Linked DNA regions of Alligator mississippiensis. The protein of the gene in region 1 purifies or fractionates together with the protein of each later gene. This does not show direct contact. Links are inferred from orthologs where the notes say so. Each region holds a gene or a part of one and is shown on either strand. Other genes may lie near its edges.

Region 1 (10,093 bases):
ACCTGGCAGCCACACGGCACACACCCCTGCAGCTACCCTGTGCCCACCCAGAGCCGAGTTACTGAGCACGGCTCCACAGGAGAAGCCGTTTGGGCCCAGGATGTCAGCGAGAACAGCAGTGCGAGCTGCGTAGGGTTCCTGCGTGGCTGGGAGGCCTCCCAGGAACATCTCTAGTGCCCTTGAGGAAGGTTCAATGCCCTGGCCCAGGTGGGTAATGTGTGGTGAGAAGCAAAGCCAAAAATCCCATGGGCTTTCATCTTTCAGGATCCTGGAGCCAGGTTTCAATGCACAGAGCGACGTGCCTGCATTTCTCTGAAATTTCCACTCCTTGCGGAGCTCGCCTCTGTGTCCTGGCTGCCTGTGCAGTGCTGGGCACCAGTGGGGCAGTTAAATGACTTGCCTATGGATGCAGGGAGAGTCAGTAGCAGGGCAGGGATGAAGGCACAGAGCTCCTGGCACTCAGACCAGGTCCCCCCCTTCCTAGGACAGCGACCACCACAGTGCAACAAGGGGCTGGTGCTTTGTGCTGTGCCCAGAGGAGACCCCCAGCTCCCCCCCACACCTCTGCATTGCACCTTGAAGTAGATGACGTAGGCAGCGACCAGGACACCGATGCTCTGCAGCAGGTCCCCGACCACGTGGATGAAGGCGGCACGGACACTGGGGTTGGGCTGGGCATCAGGGCCGTGGGGACCGTGTTCATGGCCGTGGTGACTGTGGCCATGCCCGGTCTGGTGGAGGGAAACACCCATCCTACGGAGGAGATGGAGGTGTCAGGGCATCGAGGGAGCTGCCTCTGCCTTTCCCCTTGCCTGAAGCTCATGGAAACGGGCCCTGCTTGCCATTGCAGCCTGCAGCAACGGCTGGCCTAGTCTGGCCTGGCCTGCTCTAAATGCACCATCAGTGCAGCTGCACCCCCAGAGGCAGGGGCCTGTCTCACCCCCAAGCCCCTTCTCATCCAGCTGGGGTTCAAGGAGAGGGGAGGGGGCAATCCTCACCTCTGCAGGGCACATGTCAAGAGGCTGTGGCATGGGGAGGTGGGTTAGAGAGGTGCCCAGAGCTTCTGCATTCATGAGCAAAATCCCTGCTGGCATCTGGCTGACCAGGACCTGATCCTGGAAACCCACAGGGATCCCCCAGCTTCCAGCCCTAGAAGACCTCCCAGTCCCTGGATTAATTATCCCTAGGGGTGACCAAGGCTTACCAGCCAGTCGGGGCATTCCCATAGGAGGGAGTTAGCCTTTGCCATTAGCCAGCAACTCCCGCCCATTCTCTCCAAGCCCACCCCCAGAGCCACGCACATGAGATTCACGGCCACGGCGCAGGCTGAGGTGATGAGCATGGCCTCCCCTCGGATCTCGTACTCGTTGGAGAGCAGCCGCTCCACAGCCAGGTAGACCAAGACACCCGTCACCACCCAGATGGACAGCACCGAGAGCAGGGCCCCCAGGATCTCTGCGGGGGGGCAAGGCCAGGGTTAGAGCGAATGCTTCACCTCCGAGCTCTCCCCACGCCCCCAGCCTCTCCTGGACCTGGAGTGGCCACGGCAGCCTCCCTTCATCTCCCAAAGCAGCTCCCCCCATTCAGCTCCAGCACCCCCTCTACGGCCTGCACTGTGAAGCCGGCAGCATTGGGGGAAGGCCTCTGCTTGCCATTTCTAGTTCCTTGATGGTCCGTACCAGCCCCTGGAACTACAGCTAAGCACGGGGACTTGGAGAGGCCCCTGTGCACAAAGCTTAAACTTGCTCCTCCAGGGCCAGCTGCTTTTCCAGCCCCACTGCTTCCCCCTGCACCTTCTGGAGGCAAATCACAGCAGCTCTGAGACCCCAGGGCTAAAAGGCTGCAAGTCCAGCCCACCGGCACTGCACGAACCACAGCAGCACAGAAGGCAGGGCACTCAGTTAGGACAGTCTAGGCCCTTTAGCATCAACGCCGTAAGGCAGCTGCACACAGCAGTCACAAATGACCGAGGGAGATGCAGCATGGTGTCCTTTCCCCCTCGCAAGACCTGCACTGGCTCTGCAGCAGCTGCAGCGATGCTTTCCTCTTAACAAGCCAGCCACCTCTCTACGAATCTCAGTATCTGCAGTCCACGCATTTAAAGGGGCTGCTGGCACCCCTGCTAGCACCGCGGAGGGGCTATGCCAGCCCGAGGACTCTTGCTGCATGGCTTATAGCAACTCCGTAGAGCAGCAGAAAGCTGGGATGGCTAAAGAGGCATTTATTTACTGGTATCCCTGCATCTCCATTAGACTCTGTACTGTCCCGGTGCTCTTCATGGTGGGCGATTTTGCCCCCCTGCCAACTCCTACCTGGCACAGCTACACTGGCAAGGCTGTGTAGCGTACACCCAGCCTCAGTGGTTTCAGGGAGAACAGCCCAGCTTCTGGGCTCACATTTGGCCTTCTGGATCCAGAGGCCAGGGCTGCAGCCACCGTACAGGGCTGAATAGTTAATCCCAACCTAAACTGCCAGTGGAGTAGCAAAGCCCACGGTTTGTGCCAGCAGAAACCAGGCTCAGACCCTGCGCTTGCACAAACACTTGTTACCAGAAAGGAGAGCAGGGCAGGGAGGGGGAGAGCCCAGGCAGGAACTCCTGGAGGGGGCATTTAGAAAGCCCAAGGGCCGTGGAAGTGATAACAGACACCTGGGCCTCTAGGATTTCCAGAACAAAGGCCTGCCCTGCTGAGATAGCGGGGCTGAGGCCAGGCACAGGCCACTGCTGATTTCAGCAGGATCTGCTCATGTCCAGCTGTGGAGGGCATGACCCTCCACACCTTGGCCCCAGCTTCAAGCACACCTCACTGCTCAAGAGCCACGAGTGTTTTACGGGCTGTAAGGCTGGACAGGGGCACTTTGTCCCGTCTCCCAGCCCCGCGTCAGAAGGGAGGGGATGCACCTTCCACTCCTGGTCCAACAAGGCACAGATGGGGAGGTCACCCCAGGCAGGAGAGCCTCCACGATCCCCAGAGCTGGTCAGTGGTGGACGGAGAGGTAGCGAGGACTTACCCATGTAGGCAGCTTGCCACCCTACAGACCACCCCCATCCACAGTACCTGCTCGGTGCCAGCCGAAGTTCATGGTTTTGGTGGCCGGGCGTGAGGCCATCCACAGGGAAAACAGGCTGATCATCATGCTGGCGAAGTCCGTCAGCAGGTGGGCCGCGTCCGTCATGATGGCCAGGCTGTGGGCCAGGTATCCCCCTGCGGGGTGGAGAACGTGGGGCACGCTGCACAGGGGATCCTCCCAGCATGCCCAGCCCCAGGCGAGGGAGGTGCCAGGGTGCAAGCTCAGAGGTACAGGGGGCAACCCCCCAAAAAGTTGCAGGCCATGTGCTGGGGCTGCTGGGATTTCTCTGAAGCCAAATGTTCGCTGTGTCTGTCCCGATGCAGGAAGGGAGCCTGGGGAGGGCTGTGATTTTAGGTGCTCTCCCCTGTTCTACTACAGCACAGAGAAGCCTCAGCTCTGCGGGTCCCGCACCACTCAGCCTTGCCCCTACGCTAGCTCTGTCTCGTGGGTAGGAAGAGAGGCAGAGACTGGCCTGCTGCCCCAGGCTGGCCTGGTCCTTGCGGGGATGGGGCCCTCAGCCAGACCTGCAGGTATACTACCGTGGTCACACTGCCGTGCTCAAATGCAATTGCTTCTAGGGTGGAACGCGGCAGGGAAGAACAGCCACACGTAACACAGGGCAGTGGGAGGAAAACGAGTCCTTTTCATGGATGTTTCAGCTCTTATCAAGTGGAGACGGCTTGCACCTCACCTATAACTTCCCCCGTCATGAAGACCAGGCAGATCAGCGACGCCAGGTAGAGTTTCCTTCGCGCCCGCTCCTTATCGGAGCCGCCGTGGTCGTCGGTGACCCGCTGCGAGTGGCAGTGCTGGCTGCCCTGTACCCCCAGCTCGATGGAGGCCAGGTCCGGCATGTACCTGAGCACGGAGCTGTGGAAATCCTTCCCCGACACGCCGAGGCAGGGCCTGAAGCGCAGAGCTGCCCTTACTGCCCGCCCTGGGGGTGGCGGGCGGCTCGGGAGGGGAGACCGTGGGGGGCGGGCAGAGGTTTGCAATCGAAATGGGGGCCCGCGAATGAAGGACCACGGGTTCATCTCCAGCCCACCCCAAAGCAGCGCCCGAAGAGAGGAGAGCGGCCGCTGGGAGGCTCAGACCCCGAGCGCCCACCCGCTGACATCCAGCCCTTTCTCCCCGGCCAGGCCGGGCTCCCAGGGAATCACTCCTGGGAGTCTTGGCAGCCTCCCCAGGAGCTCCCACCGCCTCCCCTGCAGCCCTGAACCCCCTTCCCCGCCCCAGTGAGCAGGGCAGAGACCCAGGGGCTGGGGGCACTAGGAGTGGGGCAAATGGGACTGGGGGCACCGGGGGGTTAGGGGCACCGTGGCAGGGGGCTGGGGGCGCTGCGGGCACTGGGGGCAGCAGGGAGGGGCCGGAGCCCCGTCCTCACCCGGCCGCGGGCTCGTGCAGCAGGTGCCGCCGCTCCTCGCCGCGCTCCATGCCGCCGCCGGCCCCGGCTGCCTCCTCCGGAGCGGAGCGGAGCGGGCCCGTGTGCAGCGGGGCGGAGGGCGGCCGGCAGCGCCGGCTGCAACACGTGCAGCGCCGAGCACCTGGAGCGCGGCCGGGCTCCCGCCGCCCGGTGCGCACGGCCCCGCGGGGCACGCCCTCGGCTGCGGGAGCCCCCGCCCGGGGCTGCTCGCGCTTCCCGGGGCCCAGCGCCGTGGTGCCGAGCTCCGGGAGGAGACTAGAAGTGCTTGAAGGAGGGGGTTTGCTGCTCCCAAATCACCTGGGCTCGGCCCCTCCGAAAGCCCGGCCCCGAGCGCCAAGGCCGGCGAGAAACCCAGGCTGCCAGGCACAGATAAGACCCGAGGTCCTTTATTGTAACAATGTGCAAGGTGAACAATAAATCCCGTGGGAGCCCGCGCCTCGCAGAGCCTGGTCGTGGGAGGGCGCTCAGCTGGACCCCCAACAAACACAACACAAGAAAAGCCTTTCTAGCTGCTCCAGCTCCTTCTGCGCGCTGAGGTGTGGTGCTGTCCTACCTGGACCCCCCGCCCGCCCCCAGTTGCAAAGAAACTCCGTCATTCCCAGAACCAGCATCGCCCGCCCCTGCGAGCGGGCAGGGCACAAGGAAGGAGCAACAGAGCTGCTTTTACAAAAGACAACAAGGTTCAAGTCCTGTCACAATTATATACAAAAAGAGGCCGTATAAAATGTACGGAATATTCCTGTTTGCACCCGTATAGAAAAGTGTCCGTTGCTCAAGTTTTCATCCTGCTTGGCCAAGCCCGACTCTTCCCCGGGATCCAGGACGCCGGACGCCGCCTCCTGCAGCTTGGCACAAAGTCAGAGTGTTCCCCCACCCCGTCCCCCGACTGCTAATCCATCCGCTCCCTGCACGGGAGTTTCTTCGGCTCTGGATTTCCTCCTGCTCCGTTATTGAGGTGCTGGAAGAGGAGGGGTGGAGACGAGGTGAGGGGGGCTGATGGCAGGAGGAGATTGAGGAGTGAAGGGGAGATGGGAAATTTCCCCCAGGCATCACTTAAACCCAATGGGACTTTGACCACTGCCTCTGGGGAGTCCCTTCCACCCCTGAGAGGTCTGCAGTGAGAAAAGCCTCATCCTTACACCCTGTCCGACCCCTGCTTTGTAGCACCTGCTGTTCCTCCCTGCAAGGGTTCCAGAAAGTCAGGCAGCGTATGCCTCAGAGGGAGTTTCCTGCACTGTCCTGTTAATAGCTGCTGAACAGAACAAGTGGAGACGTTTGCTCTGGCACCTCTAAACCGTTAGGGGAGGGTAACGACTAGGGGATGGGTCACCAGATCTACCCAGCTCAATGCTCTCCCTAAAGCATCCCACTGTCAGAGGCAGGATGCTGTGATAGCTGGACCCACAGCTCCTCCCGATGCTCGACCACCCTTCAAGTCACCAAGTTCCTCCTCATTTCCAATCTGAATCTCCCCTGCTGCGGCATGAAGCCATGGCTCCTAGTCCTGTTGCCTGTGGTCCCCCTAACGCCCATCTCCATCCTCTCTGTCATCACCCTCCGGGGAGGTGAAGACAGTGATTAAATGCCCCCTCAATCTTCTCTTCTCCAGACTAAACAGCCCTTGCTCTTGCAGCCTGTCATCATCAGTCTTGCCTCCCAGGCCCCTGATCACTTTTATTGCAGTGCAGTGGACTCTTCCCAAACTGACCACATCCCTCCTGACGTACGGGGCCCAGAACTGGACACGGGGGTCCAGGGGAGGCCTCACCCATGCTGAACAGAGCGGCAGAATCGCGGCCCTTGATTTACAAGCGATGCTCCTGTTCGTACAGCCTAGGAGGCTGCTGCTTTTTTTGCAACAAGAGCGCGCCGTTGGGTCTCAGCAGAGTGGAAGCTGTACCCCGCAGCGCACAAAGGAGCTCATTGCTATTTTAGTGAGGGGTACGAGATGCTGCAGCAGGAACAGACCGGGCGCCTCTGTCTGCAGGGCCTGACCCAGGAGGGCTGCGAGTCCCTGGGTTTGTACCACTCGCCAGCCTGCCGCGCTCCGCTCTCGACTTACCATCGACTTTCTGTTCTTGAGACAGCTCCTCTTCTGATTCTTCTCTCTCCTCATTAAATTCCTCCTCTTCCTCCTCTTCAAACACAAAGGGTGTGATTTAGAACCCCTCAGTCCCGCCCCGGCGCTTATACAAGAGAAGACACCCTCACACCTCCGTGTCGGCATTTTCTTTGGGGTTAGGGAAAGAAGGATGTCTCTTAGACTGTGAAGAGACATGCCCTGGATTCTGTACTTGGTTTGTCTAATAAATTATTGCCTAGCTTTGGGTGAGTTGGTTTGGAGTTTCTAGGCCTCGGTTTTCCCTTCTGTAAAGTGGGTCTGGTGCCCCTTTCCCGTGGGGGTTGTGAAGAAAATCAGAACGGAAGAACTGCCATTGACTGGGTCAGACCGTAGGTCCATCCTGCCCAGTCTCCTCTGTCACACAGCAGCAGAGAGCTGATGCTGAAGGGGAGAGCGAACAGGGTCTGACCCAGGATTTTTCCCACCGTTCCTCTCCTACGTGCAGCCTCCAGCATTTAGGGTCTAGGAAGCTCTGATTCAGAGGCCGTCCTCCTAGCTACCTGGCTGTTCCTCTAACCCTTGAGCTCGATCAGTGCCTGCAAAGCACGCTTGGGTGGACAGCACAAGAAAAGTGCTTTCAGGCAACGCATGAGTGGAAGGGGCCAGAGAAGGACAATACCTGCTTCAAAGTCAATAGCCCTCAGGGTTTCCATGATGGACTCCAGGTCCAGGCTGAAGGAGTCCATGTTCTCAAAGCCTTCCTCGATCTTCTCCAGCAGACCACCCTTCGATGCCTCCACGATTCTGGAGGAGGCAGGAAAAAGCTCCTTTCAGTTTTAACTCACTTAGGAGCCCATTTCAGCTGGACTGAAACCACTGCCCACAGAGCCCTGGCCACTGGTTAGACTAAAGCCATTTACAAACCAATTTAAACTGAGCTCATGAGCCCCTCTCACATGCACAGGGGAGCTGACATGGACCAGGGAGTCAGAAGGACTTAGCAGAGCAGCCCCATAGCCCTCAAGCGTCCCGCCCTGTCCCACTTTCATGCTGGCTGGGGTATCACAACGGAGACACCATGCAGCAGCGCTGTGTGTGCTCTTGAATTGGTTTGCAAGGAGTTTGGCGTTTAAGCTGCACCCTGAGTAAGGGCTCCCCCCGGGAACTGAAGCTCCCTCGGGGGACGTTGACTTTGCTGGGACAATGAGCGTGGCACCGAGGTAGTGGCTCACTAATGCATCCTGGGGACTTACGTTTTAATGAGCTTCTGGGCGTTCTGTGGGGGGAGAGAGAGAGAGAGAGAGAGAGAGAGAGAAAGGGTTAGCAGAACTGGCCTTGAAGGCTGCCAAAGCAGCAGGGTGGAGCTGACACCCACTGGATATCAGTCGTGGGAAGGGTTGGGGATGTGGGGGAGCCTTGAGAAGCAGCTGCCTGGAGCCAGAGCATGTTGCCCAGCTGCTCTGGGGAGCTCCCTTTTGCTAGGCTGGAGCTTGGCAGCTGGCTGGGGTAGCAAAGGGCACAGCCAGTGGCTGCTGGCTTGGGTTGAAAGGAGACACAATCTGGCAGGTGGGGGAATCTCTCTGGATGGGGGCAGGCAGCATGATTAGACCCAGGCTCCCGTCAGCGCCCATCCCCTCCTCCCCATGTCCTACGCCCGGTGGCAGACGCCGCTCACCATGAGGAAGGTGGCACCTCCGGTCTCCTCCATGGACTGGAAGGCCGTCTCCACCAGCTTGCTGGACTTCTCCAGCTGCTCCTTGTACTTCTGCACCAGGGCCTGGAGGAAGCCGGTCTTGTGCTCTAGCACCGCGGTGATGCGCTGCAGCAGCTCGTTCTTCTTCTCCTCCAGGACGGCGGCCAGGGTGTCAAACTTCTCACACAGCTCCTGCCGCACCCGCTGGCTGTTCTCCTGCCGAGGAAGCACAGCATGAGTGCCCGGCTGGCAGGGAAGGGGTGGGCACAGCTCCCAGACCCCACCACGGAGCAGGGCACCTCGCTGCTGCCCGGGGCAGGGGCCAGCCTCATACACTCCTTCGCGCCTGCTGATACGTGCCCCGAGCTCAGCTCTCGGCCCCAGAGGATCCCCAAGGGAGGCAACATTGGGGGGGGACAAACATACTGGTGCAAGCCACCAGGGAAGGGGAAAGCAATCCCTGGTTTGACTAGTAAGAGACTCTGAATCTGAGACTTAAAAGAAGGAGCTGGAAGCCAGGACTTCTGGGAGCTCTCTCCCTCCTTGTGGCCTTGAGGGACCGTCCATGTGTGCTTTTATCTCGGGGACAGGGCCGAGCACCCAACGCCCACGCTAGCCCTCTGAGGCTGTGGCTCAGGGTCGGGTTTCTCTGGGGCCACTCGGGTTTCCGCAGGCTCACTCATTTTCCCCGTGCCTCACCTCGGTGGCGCGGCAGGACTCCTCCAGCTGGTTGATGATTGTCTGCACCCTGTCATTCCCCGCCACCAGCATGGAGATGCAGTTGCTCAGCTCGGTCTGCGAGGGAGGACAGAAATAGAGGTGGCTTCAGCCCTCCTGCTGGTCTCTTGGGGGGGGCAGGAGGATGGTGGGGGGTAGCCTGGTCCCTCCGGGTGTGGACACCAGGATCAATCAGGTTTGTCTCTGCTCAGGGCTCTCAGACTCCCCCCGAACCCAGTGCACAGAGCAAGGGGTGCCATGGTGCGTGCCGGGAGAGATCCTGCCATATGTGGACCCTGTTCAAGCAATTCCTTCCTTCCCAGGTGCCTAGAACCCGCTGCCCCTGGAGCCAGTGCTGGCCTCGTGAGGGGCTCTAAATATAGAAGGTGACTTCTCCACACCCGGCTATGAATACCCCGGTGACGGGGCTCCGAAGCTATTCCCGAAAGGCACGGCTCAGCACCTCTCGGGTGTCTCCAGCAGAGCCTCCCCCCATCCCTGGAGGCCAATCAACGTTCCAGGGGACCGGATGGGAACCCCTCTAGGGACACGGCAGGGCATCCCTTGGCCTCTGGCTGCTCCCCTGCCCCCAGGGTCGCTGGTACCTTCTGCCCCTGGAAGACGTTCTGGAGGGGGGCGACTTCGCAGTCCTTGTGAGCCCCAAAGACCTTGCACATGGAGCAGGTGGGCACCTCGCAGGTCAGGCAGTAGATGTTGATCTTCTCGTCCTCGTGCTCCTTGCACATGGGGTGTTTGCCCTTCTTCAGGGGCCTGCTGCAGGGAAAGGAGGCAGGCATTAGCAGCGCTGGCACCCGGGCCTAGGACTGAGCTGTGGCATGAGCCCAAAGCCTGGACCAGGGTCTTAGTGCGGTTGAACCTCCCCCAGCCCCAGCCTCTCCAGCCCCGGCTCGGAGGGACGGGGCTAGATCTGGGTCTCATTTTCATTGCTGTGATGCTGTGTCCAGCACCCGGGAGGCCGGTTCTGTCTGCCCTTGGTGCTAATGAAGGGAAGGGTCAGGACTAGACAGCCCTGTCCAGTGGTGCCACCTGCCATCAGTCCTTCTCGCCACCACTCAGAGCCAGTTCTCAGAGCGTTCAAACTCGTGTCTCTGAGATTACCACCTCCCGG
Region 2 (9,370 bases), on another chromosome or scaffold:
CATGTGCACCCTGTGTGTGGTGGTGCACCCCCTACAGAAAGGCGTTGCCCACACTGTTGCTGTTGCCTGTAGACAGCAGCCGCTTGCCACCCCAACACCAGCCTGCAGTCCCCACTGGCTACCGCCACCGCTGCTGGCAGCAGCTGCAGGTGGTCACTGACCCTTGGTCAGTGCTTGCCCGCTGCCCCCCCACACTGGCAACAGCGCTGCCGCTGGCTGCGGGAGCTCCACCACTTATCCCCACTGCCACTGGGGGCACGAGTCATTCATGGACCATGCAAAAGTGTAATCTGTTTCAACTGCTGATTTGTCTATGTTAACACAGGCTGGAACCTGAGCCTGAAGTCACATGGCTGACAAAATGCCTCATATTAATCTTACTATTTTCAAAATATCTAAACTAGGCTCATCATATGTAAAATAGAGTATAGTATTGGGAAACATTACAATAGTTTAACAATATTATAAGCCTAAATCCTATTACATACGTTTCCTTAAGACTTCTCTCTATAGATTCTCAGAATATATTAATGTATCAAATTAATTTTACTTACTTTAAAATTAATATGCAAAAGTCCATGCTAGATGTAACTGGATGATAGGTACTAGGTCTTAAAGAATCTTTTTTTAACCTAATAAAGCCATGATGAGATACAGGACAGGTCAATGGTATAGTCAAAGCAGACTGAACAAATGGCAACAAAAACTCTCATTATTAAAACACAACAAATACAGACTCTGTTAAATAAATGGAATTCCTCCTTTTTTGGCAAAGTATCTAAACCTTTGGATGATTTTTGGATCTCTTGTGGGACCACAATTAATAGGTAAGTCTGTAATGATTTTTTCCAACAAAAAGCAAATGGGGAAGGAGAAAAATGCTGGCCAGCAAAATGAAGAGAAAGTAAGAAAAGATATTTGTACCAGAATATCTACAGATCATCACTCTAAAGCTAATTGCTTTTAAATGTGTGTGTGTACTGTGTATTTTTTTAAGATACAGTATTCTTAGATTGTATAGCAATTCGATACAGGACATAGTTCCATCAGAGTTTGGCAAAAAGTTTGGGAATGCATCATAATTATTACTTGCCATTCACCTGATCAGTACATATTTTACAGTCTTGGAAGAGGAAAATATGCTTTGCATACAAATACTTGCAACAGAATATTAATCACATAAACGATTAGTAGCTATATAGCACTTGATAGAAACTCTGAAATATCTCATTAGAAATGTACCCAAAACCTAAAGGTAGTAACTTTTTTTTGTTTAATTAATAGGCAGATCATGATCTAGTTTAGATATGATAAAAAATTAGCTGATATCTCTTTCATTGTGAAACTGTAAAGCTATGTGCAACTAATCTAAAGCTATGTGCAACTAACCATTTAATTAGCAGTTTATATATTGGAAGCAGGCATTTGTTTAAAAAGCAGAAAACTTAGCTTTGTCATCTGGCATTTGGACTGCAATGTTATTTCATTCCTTGAGAAAATAGGCTGATCTATACTTGTAAACAGCAATGTACACAGAGAAGGGCTTCCTAATTCAAACCAGACAGAAACAGAGTAAAAAGGCATCTTAGCCCTTCTACCTAAGGGAGAAAATTCTTCCTCTGGAAAAAACTGCCCCTGGCAAATGTCTAAAGTTGTTCTGTCAAAAACTGTCCTTAAGAAAGCTAAACATAAATGATAGTGAACTTAACAGAAAGATCCTTTAGCAATATTCTTGTTGTTGCTCTAGTTTTGTCAGCATTTCACAACCTAAGAAGGGTTAGACTCGATTGGTACTTGGAGAAAAGACCCTCAAGGAGGATCCCAGAATGCCACATGAAGTGGTGCATTAACTTTGATGAGTGTCATTCTTAGTATGGCGTTAGGAGGTGCTGGAAGCCTGGCTTTCAAATGTGATTTAAAGAAAGGTGCCAACTGCTTGTGGTCATTGACGAGCACTTTCTTGGAGAACTGAAGTTGTTATCCCTGATGCCACAATCAAATTCTAGTTGGAACAACTGCACAGGCTCTACCTAAATGGTCTTGCTGTTTCAAGTGATTTCATATTATTCTTCATTTTCAGGCCTACACCGTCACCAGTAATATTTGTATACAGCATCATAGTTCTGCCTAATTGTACCAAATACATAAAACAGTCCCGTCCTAAAACATTTACAGCCTGGATCTGACCCCGCAAAAACTCCAGCAAGCTTGCTCAGACCCTACACTGTGCTAGACTGGAATATTCTAACAAGCAATATTTGATCTAGGACAATATTGGTAGGTTAAGGTAGTCTTCTGTTTGCCTTCTGTTGCCTCCTAGATGATTGAAGGTTTGTGTTTGCTTATTGATCAAAAGAATTAAAAGGGTTGTAAGGTTTCCTGGCAGTCTTCCATCATTCTAGCATGCAGGGGATACCAATGGAAAACTGACAGCTATAGGAACCAGAAAATATCTGTAACAAAGCACAAATGTTAGAAAACAAGGAAGTGCCCAGTTAACACAATGCCTTCTGTCCCATACCTTTAGGTTGGGGGTGTCAAACTCATCTGGCCCCGTGGACAAACCTCCGTCCAAACATCCAGCACATGTGGCACTCATTCTGCCCAGTCTTGCGACTGCACCACATAGCATATGGTCAGGGCCATTCCAAGACGTGTGCACTGCATGTCTGAGATATGCTCCATGTGGTGTCCACCGCAGAGCAGTCAACAGGGGAAGGGTAAGAAGTGTGCAGCGTGCATCCTGGATGGTCCCAAGCTCTGTGCATGCAGCATGTGGGCCAACTCCAGATCCAGGGACAGTACTGGGGGCCACATGATGAGGCTCTCCAGCCCAGATCTTTAACATCCCTACTTTTGGTTATATGTAGCTTAAAAGAATTTAAAGCACGACCATCCTTTCCTGTGGGGTTATGGACAATTTAATGTGAATTTCCTTGTCAAATGAGCTGCCTTGTATGCATTAACACTTTTCTCTGATTTTCTGGTCAAGTTCTCAATACACCCAAACGAACTGCTACTGAAGGACAGAGCATCAATAACCTTTTGGGTATAAGATTATCCAAAATTTATTTAGATATTGTTTAATCCTAGAAATGCTAGCTTCTGGCTGTAGGTCTGTTAATAACTGTAGTTTTTTTATTCTTAAAACACTGCTAATGCCAGATAACCTTCCTTCCTCTTGGTCTGAAGAAGCCTTAGATGCTCTAACATCCACATGCTTTTGAATGTTAGAAACACGAAACCTGCACTGAGTGTAATACACCTCACTCCCCCTCACATCAAAGTCTGTTGGTAAAGTTCCATCTGCTGAAGTATCACTACATTACTGATTTCCTGCTGAAGGCAAATTGCCTGCTTGAGTCTTCCCTGCTATCCTGAGGTAGGGTAGTGTAAAGGAGGAAAGTTTTTAAGGTAGCAAACCATAGCTGTAGACACATCCCTCATTGCTACTACGCATGGGTACACACAAATGCAAGAACCATCTGACAAGGCAGCCTTTTTGCCCCCTGATATAGAGAGAAGCCTCTGTGTAGGTTGGGCATTCCCTAACCTTGGACTGATTTCCTGTCTTGAGGACCTACTGGACGCATCTACATGAAACGCTATCTGCACAGTAGCCTAATAAAACAGCACCATAGTGCATCACAGCATGGACAGTGCTAATACACTACTGCACAGTATTAGGCTACTGCCCAGTAGTATCACCAAAAAGGTGTTCACCAGCACTACTGCACAGTAACTCTGGTTACTATGCATTTATTTAGTGCTTGGTTGTACAAATACTATGTTAAGTGCACAGTGACCACTGTGCATTAATGAACATGTACACTGTGTCCACTGTCCACCCATTTGAACAAGGGACTGCATGTGAGTGCTCTGTCAACACCCCCCTAGCAAGGCTATGATGGGATGGTGGCAGTAAAGTGAAAGGTTCTTTGTGGAAGCAAAATACCTGCTTCCTTCTGAAGCCGGGAAGAAACTGTTGACGATTTGGTCCTGAAATTCTGGACCTTGAACAGAGCAACACAACATGGTAAAGTGCAGTAAGGCCTTGCCTCCAATGATGTTAATCTATTTTGATCCACTGACTCCTGTTCTTGGGCAAGTCTTGAGTGACACCTTAGTATCATTAAAACAAAGAAGCTTTAGCAAAAAGCAAATACAGCAGCCTGTCTGCTGTGCTGTCCAGTGAGGATGCTGGGCCTTATAGCACAAAGCTAAAGATTCTCTGATCAGGGATCAATATGCCAAATATCTGGGGTCATGACTCTCAAGATGGGAATCCTGGTGAATTGAAAATGTGCTCATCTCCCAAGTGAGAGGGTGCTGGGGGTTTAGCCCCAAAGAACATCACTTCGTGTTACTAGGGTGTGGGTTGTAGCCCTGTTCTCTTACTCTTCCACCCAGGAAGAACACACCAACCGCAGACCCGTCGTCAGCCTGACAAGGGGTATTTATACCCGAAAGCTTGCCAAGAAGAATTTTTCCAACAATTTGAATTGGTCTAATAAAAGATATCTGATTTACCCCAAAACTCTGGCCTGCCTTTGTGTTGTTTTTCTCCCATCTAAGGCTGCATCATCATGCAGTGAAAGGGAGTTTAAAGGGAAATTTGAGTGGTTGTTTTCCACAGACGCATCTTGGGACCTGGCCCCACTGGGACGTTCCCGGCCCGAGCCAAGGGCACCCCAGGGACGAAGGCTGCCTGGGTGAATCACAGAGGATGTCTAAAGAAGTTTCTCCCCGTTTCCACTCCGCACCCAACGACTTGCTGTTTTGGGGAGGGGGTATCGTTGCCTCCCCCAGGCTCGAGCTCCCTCGTCCCGAGCTCTCAAGAAGCTGCCTGGGGAAAGCCCGGGGGTCCCCGCTCTGCCTGGGGGCAAGGGCTGCTTCCCCGGGCGAAGCGCGGGAGATGGGACCCCGGCGCCTAGCAGGGCACGTGCTGCCCGGGAGAGGCGGGCCGCGACGGGCGCGTGACGCGCGGGGGCGGAGCCGGGCAGGCTCCACCCGCGCGGGGGCTCCCGGGCCGCCTCCCGCGCTCCGGCAGCGAAGGGGTGGGCGCCGCCATTGTCCGCCCGGCCCGTTTTGAAAGCGGCGCCCCGCGGCGCGGGCCTAGCGCGCAGGGCCCCGGGGCGCTCTGTGATTGGCGGGCGAGAGGGAGGGAGCCGGCGCGTGCCAGGCCCCGGCGTGTCCCCGCAATCCGCTCCGGCCGGCCCCGCGGCCCGGCCCTCCCGGGTTCCGGCCTGTGCGTGCGCAGGGCCCCGGCGGGGAGCGCGGAGCTGGGAGCGGGGCCGGCCGAGCCGAGCCGAGCCGCCGCCGCTGCTGCTGCCATGGCGAGGGGAGGCGGGGGCTGCGGGAGGGCATGACTCCGCGGCCCGCCCCCCGATGAGGCGGTGGCTGGTCTGGCTGGGCTGCTACGCCGTGTTCCTGTGGGCGCTGCGGAGGAGGATGCGGGCTGGCCCCGCCAGGTCCCTCAGGAGCGCGCTGTCCAGGTCCCTGCACGCCACGATGATGGGCAGCCACAGCCCGCCGGCCCCGGGCACCGCGGAGACGCACCAGGTACGGCCCGGGAGCGCCCGGCCCCGCCTCGCCTCGCCTCGCCTCGCCTCGGGGGAGCGGCCGGCACGGGCCGGGCCGGGCCGGGCCGGGGGAGCCCGGGCCGCCGGCGGCGCTGGCGGAACAAAGGGAGGACGGTCCGGTTCCGCCCGCCCGGGCCGGCGGGCTGCGCGCTGTGCGGGGGCGCTCGGCCGGGGCTTTGTTGCGGGCCGGCTTCGCCCGCGGCCCGGGGGGAGCGCGGGGGGGCTGAGGCCGGGGCCGGCGGCTGACAGGCCGGGGGCGGGGGCGGGCTCCGGGGCTGCCACGCGGCTGAGGGCAGCGGGTCCCCTCGGGGGGCTGCGGGGCAGGAGGAGGGGGGTGCAGCCCCCGCCTGGGACGACCGGCCCCCTGCCAGGGCCCGTCGGCTGTCATCCCCGCCCTGGTGCTCGCCATCCGGTGCCGCCCAGCTCGCAAAGTTATGGAGGGGCCTCAGGGCGGGGAAGGCTGGACCCGCCAAGGTAGAGCACCCAGTGACGCGGGACGGGCCCTGCGCCCGAGTACGGAGGGACCTATCTGCAGGCGAGGGGTCGCGCAGGTTGGGGCGCCTACTTAGGCACCTGCCTCAGCCGGCAAGGGAGGAGTTGGGGAGGTGCCCTTTCTAGGTGCCCTCCAGGCCAGGGTGGTTAGATCCAGCGTATGCTCAGGCCTGGGCTCTGTGTTACCAAACCTGTGGCAGGAGTTCAGGAAGAAGAAAAATACTAATGGATTTTTTTAAAATTTTTTTTATGGAGCTTTTGATGACTTGAGAAAAATTATGTGAAATACACAACGTGGTTAGTGAGGTAGAAGTGGCTTATGAATATCTGAGGGATACAAAGGAAGGGGAGTAATGACCCTGCACACTTGGCTACCCAGCAGGCGATTCTGCTCACATGTTGCTGCTTGGACTTGGTTGGGGCTCTGCTGGAGCGCAGTGGTCTGGCGCGTACGCCAGGAGACAGGGAGGCAAATTTTAGGCTGACTATTGAGGGAAACTTCCTGACCTTAGAACAAAGGAAACCTTGGAGATGTGTAGTCTGGGATGTTTAAAACACTACACTGCATCAAGAAACTAAACTACATCAAGAAAGTGTACCGTTGGAGGTGATTGTTCCATTACAGGCAGAGAGACTGGGGGGTGGGGATCAGAAATTACAGATGAAAGAGATCTGGCTCTGGAGCTTCTAGCAATGGTTTATCTAGTGTTTAGAGAGCCTCTTAACAAACTGTGATTAATGACTTCCATGGGATTACTCTCATGAATTAAGACTACATGATAAGACCCAAATATCTGGTTTTTATCAGTTGTGCTGTTTTACTTTTTTGTTCTTACGTCCAGAATAAAAAAGTGAATTGTGCGCTAACATTTGACAACTAACTTTTTAGCAATAATAGTAGTAGAGAGATTTGACTATTTCTTTCCAGTAATGATATTCACTGGTTTCATTACAATACTGTTACAAACCCCTATTTTTGTTGTTTGTAAATTACTTACAAAAATTTGAAAAGAATTAAAAAAAACTTGTTAACTGATAGTTGGGTTCATAGTCTCTGAAGCTGTCCAGTTGTCAGCTCCTTTGTGGTGTGGAGTGGAGACTTAAGGATTCTATTGAAGCACATAGCACATGGTCTTCTTACCTCTTTAAATAATATTAAAAGGTTTTAAACTTATAGAAAGGACCTAGCAAAGTTAAATGTTCTGCTTTATGTCTGCAGTGTGTCGGATCGTTCTGTGTCCTAATATGAGACCCTAGTGTACCTAACTGTTCTTCTAGTATTTAAGAAAAGAGGAAAGTAGTAAAAGCACATGCCCGTGAAGAAATAGTTAGAGATGGACATTGCCTTCCTACTCTTGCTGCTTAAGGAGAGAATATTGAGTTTGGACTTGTTTATCCCAGACTTCATTCTTTCAATTTTTCCATTACTGCTGATGTGTGGTAGTGCTTTGGTGCTACTGAGGTTTTAACCTTTGTGTTGTCTAACCCTGTCCATGGTAAATTTAGGTGATGAATGTTTAAAAAAGGTGTTGGTTACTAGCGGCTTGTCTGTGCACTTTTCACTGTTGATTCCACCTGTGATGGAAGAAATTTTAAGGAGAAAAAGTCCAACATGGACAAGGAGTTAGAGCATTAAACCATGTTATATACAAACCTGTTCGAAAGCTTTGTTTGAGCTGTGAGTCTCTTTGAGAAGCTTGTGAACCATTTTGAAAATGGATTTAACTCCTGTAACATTTGCTTCTGTATGAAAAGGTCTTAAAATGTGTCATTGCTGTAAGTAGTTGATGGAGATTACTTGAAAAGCTGGAATATTTGCTGCAGCTGTCTGCTCCCCTCTGCTCGCTGGCACTGTTACTGCAAACCAGCAGGATGTTGAAATAAGAATCCTGTACCATTTTAATTTGTTTTGTTTTATAGTAGTACCTAGACATCCCATTGTACTAAACCTTGTGTAATAGAATTAATATGCCCATGATCATAGAGTTGTTTTGCCCCTCAGAATGGTTTGTGGTTTCTCAGTGTTCTCTGTATTGGGTGTGCTCAATTTACAAATAAAAAGATGTGTTTCTAATTACCAGTCCTGCAGACAAGTCAAGCTGGGTTCTTTCCTGCTTATGCATTAGCAACAGTAATAAATGTTTCTGGGTGCCAAGTTATCCTCTTAAACCTCTTTATCTGTGCAGTTCTCAAATTAGGCCCTTGCTGACCTCCGTGTTTTATCATTTCCTTCAGGGGACAGCACTGATGTGATTGACTGGAACTCAGTAAGCAACTCTCTTGGATGATGCATAAGAAGACATAGTATTCACACCTTAGTTTAGTTATTAAAGGAAGAAGTAATTATGTGAATGCACAAAAATTTGAGTAAGAGGGCCCACTTTCAGTCGCTTTCAAAAGAAGTAGACTAGCCTAAAAACAGGATGGATTAATTTCAAGCCATCAGATAGGCCCTGGCCCACTACCTGTTGGTGAGTTTCCTCTCCATTTTATGCCAATTCATACATGGTTGCAAGGCATCTTTCCCCATGGTATTTCCACCAATCTCCACTACCAAAGAACTTGGTAAAGAATATTGTGCCTATGAGTCCATGCTCTGAGGGGTTCACAAATAGAATCTCCAGTGGTGTAATTTACTTGCATGTCTTATGCCATTTTTATGTTCTCTGACTTGCATATATCCTAGTCCTGAGAGCAGACTTATACTAGTGGACCCTTGAGCTTCTCCAGTGAGCCCCACTGACTTCACTGGGATTCTCCGTGGACATAAGTGTCTGCTGTGCTGATGTGGATTTTATTTCAGGATCGGAACTTCACATTTGTATGTATTTACAATGGTAGTTGCCTTCCCTTTTACGTTACCATTGAACTTGGGCACAGGTAGAGTCTAAGATCTGGTAGCTTCCATGCAGGAAGACAAAAGAGATGTGTGAAGCAAGAAGGGTCTTAAGAAGCTGTAAAATGCACCTTATTCCTGCTCCTCGTTATGTGAATTACACACATTTAGACATGTTTGTAGTAAGTGGGTGGATGTAGAAATAAGGCAATTGTATCACTTTTAGTGTGTAATGTATAAACTTGAAAAACTAGTTCTGGGAGTTCCCACAGTTATACTATGTTTCTTATCATCACCTCAAACTCAGGGGATTAAAGCAAACCCTGACCCTCAGAAGGCTGAATGCAGAAATATTCAGCTCCCTGATAAAAATTAAATTCTGAATATCTTCAGTCCCCTAAGAAGCATTTTCTTCTATGGACCTGGCAGGTGCCTATAAAGGCTGATTGGCTGGTACCTC

What was found. The genes of interacting proteins can lie anywhere in the genome.
Region 2: the proteins of SLC30A2 (region 1) and METTL9 purify together in Homo sapiens (co-immunoprecipitation; 3 studies listed by BioGRID and IntAct, with this or other methods). This does not show direct contact. The link is inferred for Alligator mississippiensis from reciprocal best matches to the Homo sapiens genes SLC30A2 and METTL9.

The regions. Positions count from the first base shown.
Region 1 is NC_081829.1:3,294,414-3,304,506, reverse strand, and holds the start of SLC30A2 (proton-coupled zinc antiporter SLC30A2), read right to left. Parts: upstream 4,644-10,093; 5' UTR 4,504-4,643; coding exon 4,454-4,503; intron 3,976-4,453; coding exon 3,761-3,975; intron 3,204-3,760; coding exon 3,057-3,203; intron 1,456-3,056; coding exon 1,302-1,455; intron 754-1,301; coding exon 576-753; intron 1-575. Other genes in the region: E3 ubiquitin-protein ligase TRIM63, read right to left, coding at 5,440-5,450, 6,555-6,629, 7,234-7,358, 7,808-7,830, 8,230-8,463, 8,947-9,042, 9,570-9,738.
Region 2 is NC_081836.1:46,715,610-46,724,979, forward strand, and holds the start of METTL9 (protein-L-histidine N-pros-methyltransferase), read left to right. Parts: upstream 1-5,064; 5' UTR 5,065-5,388; coding exon 5,389-5,562; intron 5,563-9,370. UniProt on the Homo sapiens protein: Protein-histidine N-methyltransferase that specifically catalyzes 1-methylhistidine (pros-methylhistidine) methylation of target proteins.